2 linked regions of the Caenorhabditis elegans genome follow. The protein of the gene in region 2 interacts with the protein of the main gene of each other region in a pairwise test. Each region holds a gene or a part of one and is shown on either strand. Other genes may lie near its edges. The genes, in order: hlh-2 and hlh-10.

Evidence for each region.
Region 1: the proteins of hlh-10 (region 2) and hlh-2 interact in a two-hybrid assay, tested with the Caenorhabditis elegans proteins (2 studies listed by BioGRID).

Annotation. Positions count from the first base shown.
Region 1 is NC_003279.8:7,189,969-7,195,703, forward strand, and holds hlh-2 (Helix-loop-helix protein hlh-2), read right to left. Parts: upstream 3,953-5,735; 5' UTR 3,940-3,952; coding exon 3,795-3,939; intron 3,445-3,794; coding exon 2,957-3,444; intron 2,118-2,956; coding exon 1,816-2,117; intron 1,704-1,815; coding exon 1,562-1,703; intron 1,395-1,561; coding exon 1,272-1,394; 3' UTR 820-1,271; downstream 1-819. Other genes in the region: plag-15 (PhosphoLipase A2 Group), read left to right, coding at 54-522. UniProt on the Caenorhabditis elegans protein: Transcription factor which binds the E box motif 5'-CA[TC][AG]TG-3'. Plays a key role in the anchor cell/ventral uterine precursor cell (AC/VU) decision; required for VU fate.
Region 2 is NC_003283.11:9,279,992-9,284,268, reverse strand, and holds hlh-10 (Helix-loop-helix protein 10), read left to right. Parts: upstream 1-2,058; 5' UTR 2,059-2,217; coding exon 2,218-2,288; intron 2,289-2,807; coding exon 2,808-3,104; intron 3,105-3,163; coding exon 3,164-3,284; intron 3,285-3,447; coding exon 3,448-3,567; 3' UTR 3,568-3,757; downstream 3,758-4,277. UniProt on the Caenorhabditis elegans protein: Probable transcription factor which binds the E box motif 5'-CA[TC][AG]TG-3'.

The sequences.
Region 1 (5,735 bases), on a different chromosome or scaffold from region 2:
ATGGTGCTAAGACTACCAAATTATGTTTTTCTTCAACTTATTTGGTTCTTCAGATCATTCTCCTCTTCGGCCTTTCTGTTTCCAAGTCCAGTTGCATGGAAACCACATGAAATATTAGCGACAACTGCTGACAAAAACTACACTGTTGGAAATATTAAAGAATTCTTTCAAGACATTAATTACATGGTTGGATGGGAACAATACAAACAGGCCGCCCGTCTGAATGGAAATTTAAGTTCTCCAGGAGTTCCAGTTCATTGTATTTATGGAACAGGAGTCCCCACACCGGAAAAGTTTTCATGGGCTCCCGGATACTTTCCAGATTATCCACCAACTGAATTCATGGGTGATGGAGACGGGACAGTGAACAAAAAATCAGCTACAGTGTGCACTAATTGGATTGGAAATAATAATGGTTATAAGGTTACTGTACACGAAGTATTTCAAGCTGATCACATGGCAATTCTTAAACATCCAAATGCAATTGAACTTGTCCGAAAAGCCATTTTCCAGTTAATTTGAGTGATGCAAAAAGGGTTCTGAATTTTAAAATTTTGTTTGTTTTGATCAAGGTGAATGAATTATGTTTGTATCACATTTTTTCCCGTTGTTGACATTTTATACATCCAATATTCCTATACATCAGTTTTGACAGACCATGAAAAAAACATCTCGTTTCAACGACTTAGAAAGTCAAACTAAATGTCTAATTATAAATGGGAATCCCTTTCAACATAAAGTGGAATCCATACTGCGAAGGACATTAGCACTTCATCGGAGCTTGGATAATTAAAGTGTTGAAACAGTTACCCAATAGAGTAATTCATGTGTGAAATTAGTTGGCGGTGTCTTTTTTTTTGAGTGGACCATTTCATTTCAAGTAGATACTAATTAGCTATGGTTTATCACATACACACACACAAAAAATAAGACAAGTTGGAAGAAGTTGATTGAATGAATGAATAATATGAAAGTTAATTTTAATACTTGAAATATTAGAATTAGCTATTGATTGATTTAAATTTAGAGGAGAAAATAAATTAAAAACATACAGAAAATTGTGATGATCTTGTAATAAAGTTTAAAATTTTTAAAACTGAAAACTGATTGAAGTTGAGAAATCACAGGACCTCCAATCCGGAGGGAGATGAAGGGGAACATTTGAATAGTTTGAACAAAAAAACAATATGCTAGAGAGTTTTAGCCGTATGGATGATTGGGAGAAGATTGGGAATGATAGTTTGAAATGCTTAAAAAGTCAATTTTTAAATTTAAAACCGTGGATGTCCAAACTGCGCGGATGGTGCATTGTCATCAAGCATCTTCATTTTATCATCATCAGGTTTCCTTTTCATTCCAGCCATCACTTTTGGATTCATATTTCGTTGACGAACCTGTAAAATTATAAATTTCAACTTGTTCAGTGTTTTGTTTAAATTTTTCGAATAAATTCCATCGCAATGTTATGTGCTTCAAAGTCAAAAATACAGCAGTCGAACAATTGCCAATTAATTTTGTTCACAATTTGAATGTTTCTTTAAAATATGAAAAATTATCTAACCTGTTCTTCCAATTGTGTAATCACAGATACTGCATTGTGTAGAATTCCCAATTTTGTTTGATTCCGTTCTGTATTCTGATTGTGCTGTGTGCACATTCGTCCGAGCTCTTTGAATGCCGAATTGATGTCACGAACTCGTACTCTGTAAGTTTTTTGTATTAGATTAGATTTGGAGATATCTCGATTAAATTACTATGTAATTGTCAATTTCCAATGTTCAATTCAAAACGTCTTAAAAGTAAAAAACTCCTCACCTTTCTCGAGCATTATTCTGTGATCTCCTATCCGTATCTTTGTCATCACTCATTGATTCATTATCAGAAAGCCTTGAAGACGATGAATGGCGAGTTGGAATTCCAGAAGATGGAGGGCCTTGTACCCGACGACGGCTCGTTGCTCTTGATGCAGACTTATCATTTCGAACAGATGATGCACTTGATCCTGGTGGCATTCCGGTCATTCCTGGATATCCATTTGGATCAAAGTGTGGGCTCATACCGGCTGGTGGGAATTGATGATTGTAGTCAACCAAGTTGGTATCTCCACCAAGACCATTCTGCAATATTTCATTGTTTTTGGTTTTATAATTTCTATAACCCTCATCTAAAACTACTCAACTTTTTCTCTCAATGAAACAAAACAAAGAATTAATTTCATTTGCCTTGCTAGTCAGTTAATTCTCTCAAATGGTACTATTGGGGGCCGAGTCAAATCAATCGATCTCTTTAATGTACTGAACCCCGCAATGTGACCGTCTCTGTTCACCACTTAATCATGCGGCGACGTCGGTCAATAGCCCCCTTCGGTTTTCGAGGACACCATCAGAAAATGTGACCGGCTATTGGGTAACAATGCAAAAAGCAAGAGCTTCAAATTTTGGCCAATTTAGTTATTCACTAGTCAGAGGTTGGATACAGGGATTTTACCATATTATTCTAGATTTCTCAAGACTGGAACGCAAAAAAATGTCATCAGGGTCTCAAAACTTTGTTCACGACAACAGTAGTTCAGAATCTTAATGTTTAGTATTGTCATATGGCAAAAATTATTTTAAAGAAAACTGAAAGAATCTCAAAAATTTCCTCCAACAAAAAAAGCGATAAACTTTGCCTAATTATGTAACTAATCCATCTTTTCTGTATGTTTCTCCTTGTTTTATGTTTACATTAGTGACTTTTTTGGAGGTCGTTTAGTGCGCACAGGGTGTTCTTCTCAAGAAGATGCCGCCTTTTGCATGCATCTCAATCTTCAGAAGGCGGCGGCTCACATCAAAAGGAAGCGGATTATGCATACGTGAATGCTTGGCGGCTGAGGAGGGCCAAGCAATCATTCGTCGAGATTAACTTGTGGTAAAACAGTAAAACACGAATAAAACCAAGAAGAATAGAAACGTACCGGCTGTCCAGCAAGTTGCTGCTGATACGATGAGAAGTCGGCAACTGATGGATCAGCACCAAATGTATATGTTGGAGGGATTGAGATGTATGGATTAACAGCTTCACTTGCTTTGTTATCTTCTGAAGGTGGAAGGTAACCTGGATATGTTTGTGGCCATGTATACATTGATGACATTGCGTCAATTGGTGCGGTAAGATTAGTAAGAGGCTGTGGAGCAACAATCGCTGATGTTTCTGCAGAATTCGTGGCTGGAGCTGTTGTTGGCTTTAACTCAAGCACATCAGTAGTTGAAGTTGGAGCTGGAGCAGTAGATGGAGCCGTCGTTGAAGTGGATGATGTTGCATGAATTGGCTTAATATCAGATGTTGCAGAAGTTGGAGCAGCTACGGAAGCAGGGGTTTCAGTTGGTGGATGTGTTGGAAGGAAGGCTGATGAATAATCAATATCCGTTGTTTGCATCGGAGGATACGGGTTGAGATGGTATCCTGAAAATGTTTATTTAGATGACTTGCACTTGAGAAATGAGATATAAACATTTTGGTTAATAAACTACTTACTAGAGCAAACCAGATTTTTACAAAATTTTAGAACATTAAAAGAGTTATACATTTTGTTTCAACTTAAAGTAAATTTTAAAAATTTGCGAGCTTATAAAATCAACAATTCAACAATTCGAGATAAGTAATACCAAACTTATATCCTTTTTCTGCAATTTATCCAATATTTCTAACTGATTACAAGCGACTTTTAACAAATTCACGAAAACATGTTTGGTTTGGTTTACCAAATGATATAATTGAAATTATAATAGATTTCAAATGAAAAAAAGACTAACCACTCCAATAATCAGGCATCTGAATCGTTGTCGGATCAATATTATAAGGATAATCATATGCATTTGGAAGCATAACCTGTGGTTGAGCAATGGCGGCAGTTGCAACAGTTGTGGCTGACGTAAGTTGGCTATTTGGATCCGCCATTGAGGTTCTGAAAACTTTATTTCTGCGAAATGATATGAAAGACGATTATAGTAGTAATGTCAAAGAAATAAAGTCAGCGGAGAAGCGGGGAGAGGAAAGGGAATAAGTAGGGAATTGGGCTGGAGCAGCAGGTGAAAAAATTAGGTTAGTAAATATATTCTGATTAGATTTTCGTCAAGACAACCCCATTTGAAGAAATATTGAGAATAAGAAAAAGAAGAAAATAATCGATTCTCCTCGTTTGGTTAAATAGGCAAACGAGATCAAAAGAGGCAAGGTAGATCAATAAAGAATAATAATTGTGACGTCACAATAGATCTACTAAGTTCCGGTATAAATTATTAGGAGCAAGTTACTTGAAGGAGAACAATTTGTAGGGAGGTAATGATGTTGAGATGGTATCAAGAAATAGTTGTAAATGTAGATGTCATTGTAGATGATTATCGGATGGATGACATCCCGAAAGAGCAATAAAATAACAGTAAAGGGGTGATGGATCAAAGGGTTTCAGGCCCATCTAAATAATTAGTTTAAATTCAGACGTAGGATAAGATATATATGAAAGCTTTAAACGTGAGCTAGTAACATTTCGGATGCAAATATACATTTTTTGATAAACTCAATAATTGAAAAAAAAACTGCCCTACAATACATTTGCGTTCTTGTTTAAATTCAAAATTGGTAAGGATTCGTAAACATTGTAGGAGTGAGAAAAAGTAATGCAGATCAAAATTATTTGGTAAAAGATCCAAAATTGAAAATTGGGAGGAGAGAAATTTTAATTTTCAAAATCAGAAGATGGGATACATTATGTATTTCATTCAAAATATGTGCTATGTTTTATTACAGTAAGATCATGAACTTGAAAAGCTAGTAAACGGAACAGATTTAGACACAAAAAAAGACGAAAAGAGTGCACTCCCCCCTTCTTAGCGGCTATGCGGGTGGCTAGGAATGGTTCTTCGAGGGTGGTGGTAGTGGAGGGACGCGTATAAAAGCCCATTCAAGGGACATAAACAGTATATTGGTGTACATAGACGCAGACATTCTTTCTCCCGGGGACCGTCTACATCCAAGAGACGCAGAGACGATGATCGGGAGAGGTCACGCCCACAACCATCTCTCTCTACCTCCTGCAGCACACAATCCTCTATTATCCCGGGGTCCTCCATCTCTTCTCCCACCATTCATTCACCAGTCTTTTTTGGGTGAAATGAGAGGAAAATGGGGGAAGGATTGAATGAATAAGGGGATTGAATGAATAGAAGAGGTCAGCTCTCTTGGGGGAAAATGTCGCCACCCGACTGTAGGGAGTACATTCATTTTTGAAGCATGTTATTAGAGTTTTGTAGGGATCTCTGAAATTTTAATTCTTCAGAATATGGTAAGAGTGAGAGAAAGAGTGTGCACAGGAAAGGGGTATATTTTATTAGAATAAAGTTACTCATATTCACAACAGAAGTTTCAGCAATCACAATACTGTGGGACTACTCGAGTCTTCAAATATCTTGAGCCATATCCTAAAATTGTCTCTCTGTGGTAATAAACCAACAATTATAAAAAGAAATGATACTTCCAATGCCCGTCTCTAAAGTGCATTTTTTGACAGATGTTGTCAAAAGTATACGGTACTGGAACTTTTTTCTCGAGAGTATTTGGGGAGGTGTCTATTGTGGGACGGAGTGCAGCTGTCATCAAATTCAAGTGCTCAATGGTTTGGTTAGAAAAAGTTAGAAATACGGTAATAATGACGAATTTGTTCTACAAATATGATTAACTAAATGGTGATACTTATT
Region 2 (4,277 bases):
ATTCATTATTCCATATTTTATTTTATATTATGTATTCTATAAAAGTGCCTTCTTCTGATACTGTTGCTTTGAACTGAAATCTTCAACAAAAAACTTTCTGAGTTTTTATTGAATAGGCTAATAAATCTTTCTAATTTCTTGAAAATCGATCATTGAACAATTTTTAATGTATACAGGTTTAAAATTGATTTAAATTTTAAAAAATCCAGTTTTTGAGTGAACATAGGAAAAAATCAAGGCTTGAGAAGAGTTCACCAAACCATTTTTTTCCTAAGTTCCTAAATCTTGATGTATTTTTGTTTGACTAAGAGCAGCGACTGAATATTTTTAATTTGAAGAGTCTCCCATCCGGAGACCAGATTTTTCCAATTTCACAAAGCAAATAGACAGGGAGGGCAAAAAGTTGAGAGAGTGGCAAGGTGCGGCAGTGAGGAAACAGCAGGAGTCTGATATAATCAGGAGCATTGAAAGTTTTCAACTTCTGGAAAATTAAAATCTGTTAGAGGTTTTTTCTGACAAACGCAGATGATTCGTGTTTCGAATAGAGAAAAGACGGATGTGGAGATTGAGAAGGAGAGTCAGGAGGACTATGGCGCGGAGCACAAGCTGTGCTCGTGGTGGAGCACATCTGTGTCTAATCGGTAGAGAATGCGCATGTTGTTTCCATATACCCAGCTGCTACTCGCACAGAGCTTTTGCACATCATTTACTTTTACTTTTTCGGAGCCCTGGAGCTTCTATTTAAACATTTCTTTCAATAGCCAGAAGTCTATAAATTATCATGTAGGTACTCAGAGTACTGGACGAACAAAATGTCAAATTGAAAAACGAAAATGTGTCAATCTTAGTCAAACCACAGCTGTGAACTTTCGGAAGGAGATGAGGTCTGTTCTGGGACTCATTGTGCATTGGCATCTGTTCATCCATCCGCCAGTCGAATGCCAAACCCTTAACTCCATAATGCCTATTCTTGCATAATACGTCTTCAAAGGTTATTTCAATAAAAAAACATTTTTTAAGGCATCAATTTATGGTTGTTAGGTAGATAAAAATATCTTGGGGAGATTGCACAATTTTTGATAATATGGTAATTTTGTACAATGGGTTTCTAAATAGTCATGTGCCACTTAAGGTTATTAAGCGAATATCTAGAATATAAATACATACATACAATTGCGATCTTCGCTCATCCCATTCATACACCATTGTAGGTAATCCTCCATTCCATTTATATTCAGAACGATTCTTTCACTCTCGGCTCTATGCTATACACGTATTCTTATTCTCTTTCCAACTGCTTTCGCTGCAAAAATTATACATAGTATGGCCCATCTGACCTATTGACGTGACATCGTTGTGCTGTCTAATAAACTCACATCCATCAAGACGCCGACGACTATTTCTAATATAAGAAAGGGAAGACGGGAAAAGGAAAAGTCAAATGCTCATAGATGTTCACATTCAATTTAGTTGTATTAGAAGACAAGAAGAACAAATCCGAAGTGTTCTGTTGAACTTTGTAAGAGTTTTCGGATAAATGTAGGATATAATTCAAAGACTACTTCAAACTCGCCTGCCATCTATTTTATGAACATATCTGATAAATAAAGCTAACTCCCGTGTTCGGAATTCGTACAGCGCGAGTTTAAGAACTTCTAATTTTCTAGGAATGGGTCGGGCAGAAGCCCTTTGATCCTAACGTATCTAAAATATTATACCTTCAGATCTCTTCTGGTATCTATTTTATCGAAATTCACAAAAGATAGCAATTAAAAATATCAAAGTTGCAAGAATTTAAAGACGATAAGTATCCTATCCGCTCACAACTCCTTGATACCACTGGTACAAATCAGCGAGAAGTTATTTTTAGAAATCATGGAGAAATCTGTTGCAATAAATTTGCATTATCCATCCGCCCTATCATATTCTTCTCTCATCCCTATAATTAGTTGTTAGGGTTTCCATAGTATTGTGTATAGCTTCTCTTTATCCCTTCTTCTTAACCCCCTTATGTTGTTCCATTCCCGTCTCTTTCACCACCACTTGTGATGCTTTTCTCACACAGCCGGCGAAGCCGTCTGTCTCTGAAAGAAGCCGAATCACCTGTCATATTCAGGTGTTCCCGTACGCTCAACCACACGCACCCTTCGTTTATTCGTATTTCCTTCTGTCAGGCTCCGGGTGTGGTCTACTTTTCATAGCACAATTTCGAGAACTATGGAATCTTCAAGTATGACAACTCATCAAGAAGAGCCATTGGATTTGTCAACTGGAAATCATGGAAACTCGTAAGTATGGCTATGATCGAGAAAAAGTGTAATTATTTTTGAAAATTTGAAGGTGGAGTTCGGAAAATGTTTATTGACAGTGATAAAGTAGTAATTACCGAGTTCTTGTCACTTTTTGAGATAACTATACCATTGCCGCATGTTCGACTCCCTGCAACGTTTGAATATTAATATGTGAAACATAAGTAGACCATAAAATTCAAAGGTAAACATTTTTAATAGACGACTTCGAGAAAAGTGGCAAAAACTGGGTAATAAACACTTTTTGACTGTAAATAAAAAGTTATCAAAAAAATAATGAAAAGATTCACTACGACATTCTATCATTTTGTCATAATGTAATTGTGTTTCAACAATTTCTCCACTGTCGCTACTCCTTTTGAATTCTAAATCTTTAATATTGATGATGTGCTTCTGAAAACAAAAAAACCAAAAAAAGACGTTTAAAAAGAAAACTGCTAGACAAAAAAAAGATGTAGATGTCAAACCATGAAATAAGATACCAACTCCTTTTTTTAGAGAACTGTCCGATGAGCAGCAGATCATGCAAGTGATGGAATCATGTGGCATGTTTTTACAACAGAACCTTTTTGCTTGGTTTCTTCAGTCCATGCTTGAAGCATCTGCATCTCAACCTCAATTAACACAAGATGAGCCACCAGAAAATGATACAAAGGAAAATGACCTCGTTAAGCAAAACAAATCAGAAGTTAATGACGAAAATGAGTCTACTCCAAGTCCAACTCAAAATAGCAGGCGAAGAACTTCCACTGGGAAGATTGATAGAAGAATGGTCGGAAAAATGTGTACGAGAAGGTGAGTTCATAAAATTTATAAAATTTGAGACAATTTTCCATTGTTTTAAACAGTTTCAGATATGAAGCCAATGCAAGAGAAAGAAATAGAGTTCAACAACTTTCAAAAATGTTTGATCAATTGAGAGTCTGCCTTCCAATAGAGGATGACGCAAAAATATCAAAGTTGGCTACGTTGAAGGTATACTGAAAGTTTTAAGAAAAATACTTTCATGGTCAATTAAAATTTGTCTTCGATTTGTAAAAAAAAAAGATTGAGACAAAAGCCAAAAAACGGGAAGGTGGGAAACCACAGAAATATTTGTAAAACGCATAATTTTCCCTTCTAAAAATTGCATTTTTAGGTTGCAAGTTCTTACATTGGATATCTCGGAGCTATTTTACAAGAAAACTCAAACGACGAAGAAGAATTTAAAAAACAACTTCAAGTCGAATTGGAATGTGCAAAAACGTTACGAAAGTAAAAGTACACAATACTCTGTTGAATATTTCCAACCCTGTTCTCATTCTACTTGATCTCTGTGATTAACAAAAACCGTATTGTTGTTTCCAGCTTTTCGGTTTATAATTGTTTGATGTCATCGTTTTACCATTTCCGATGAACTTTTTTTTTATTATAAATTCTTGTTATTGAATTTAAATAAAAATTGAAATCTCATAAAAATTTCATATAATATAATAGCAAAAACAGAATAAGTTTTTGACTTGAATAGGATTGAAATATTACAAGTTTCAGTCTAAGATCTGTAAATTATTTTTTTGCTGACGAAATCGATTGAAAATTAAGGAGCAAGTTTACCTTTCTCGTAAGCAGTACATATTTTAGCACTAGGCTGAAAAATTATGTTCCTGTTTCTATCGAAATTCTGGAGGTGATCTATTGAAAGTGTACAGTTTTTTTTCGGAATTCATGTTTAGTAGTATTCGAATTTTTTGAGTAGCTTCGATAAAATAACCAGTTCGTGAGTTTTTTAGACCTACTGAATTCATTTAAAACGTCAGTTTTCAATGAGACCCACACCACATATTTTTTAGTACAGATTGGTCTTAACTTTTGAATTGATGAATATACCAAAATTTCAATTTATTACACTAATAATCTGAAAAATCTGCATAAATTAAGTTTCATAATTTGTTCCGTGTGTTGATCATACTACAGGAAGAAATTTTTAAT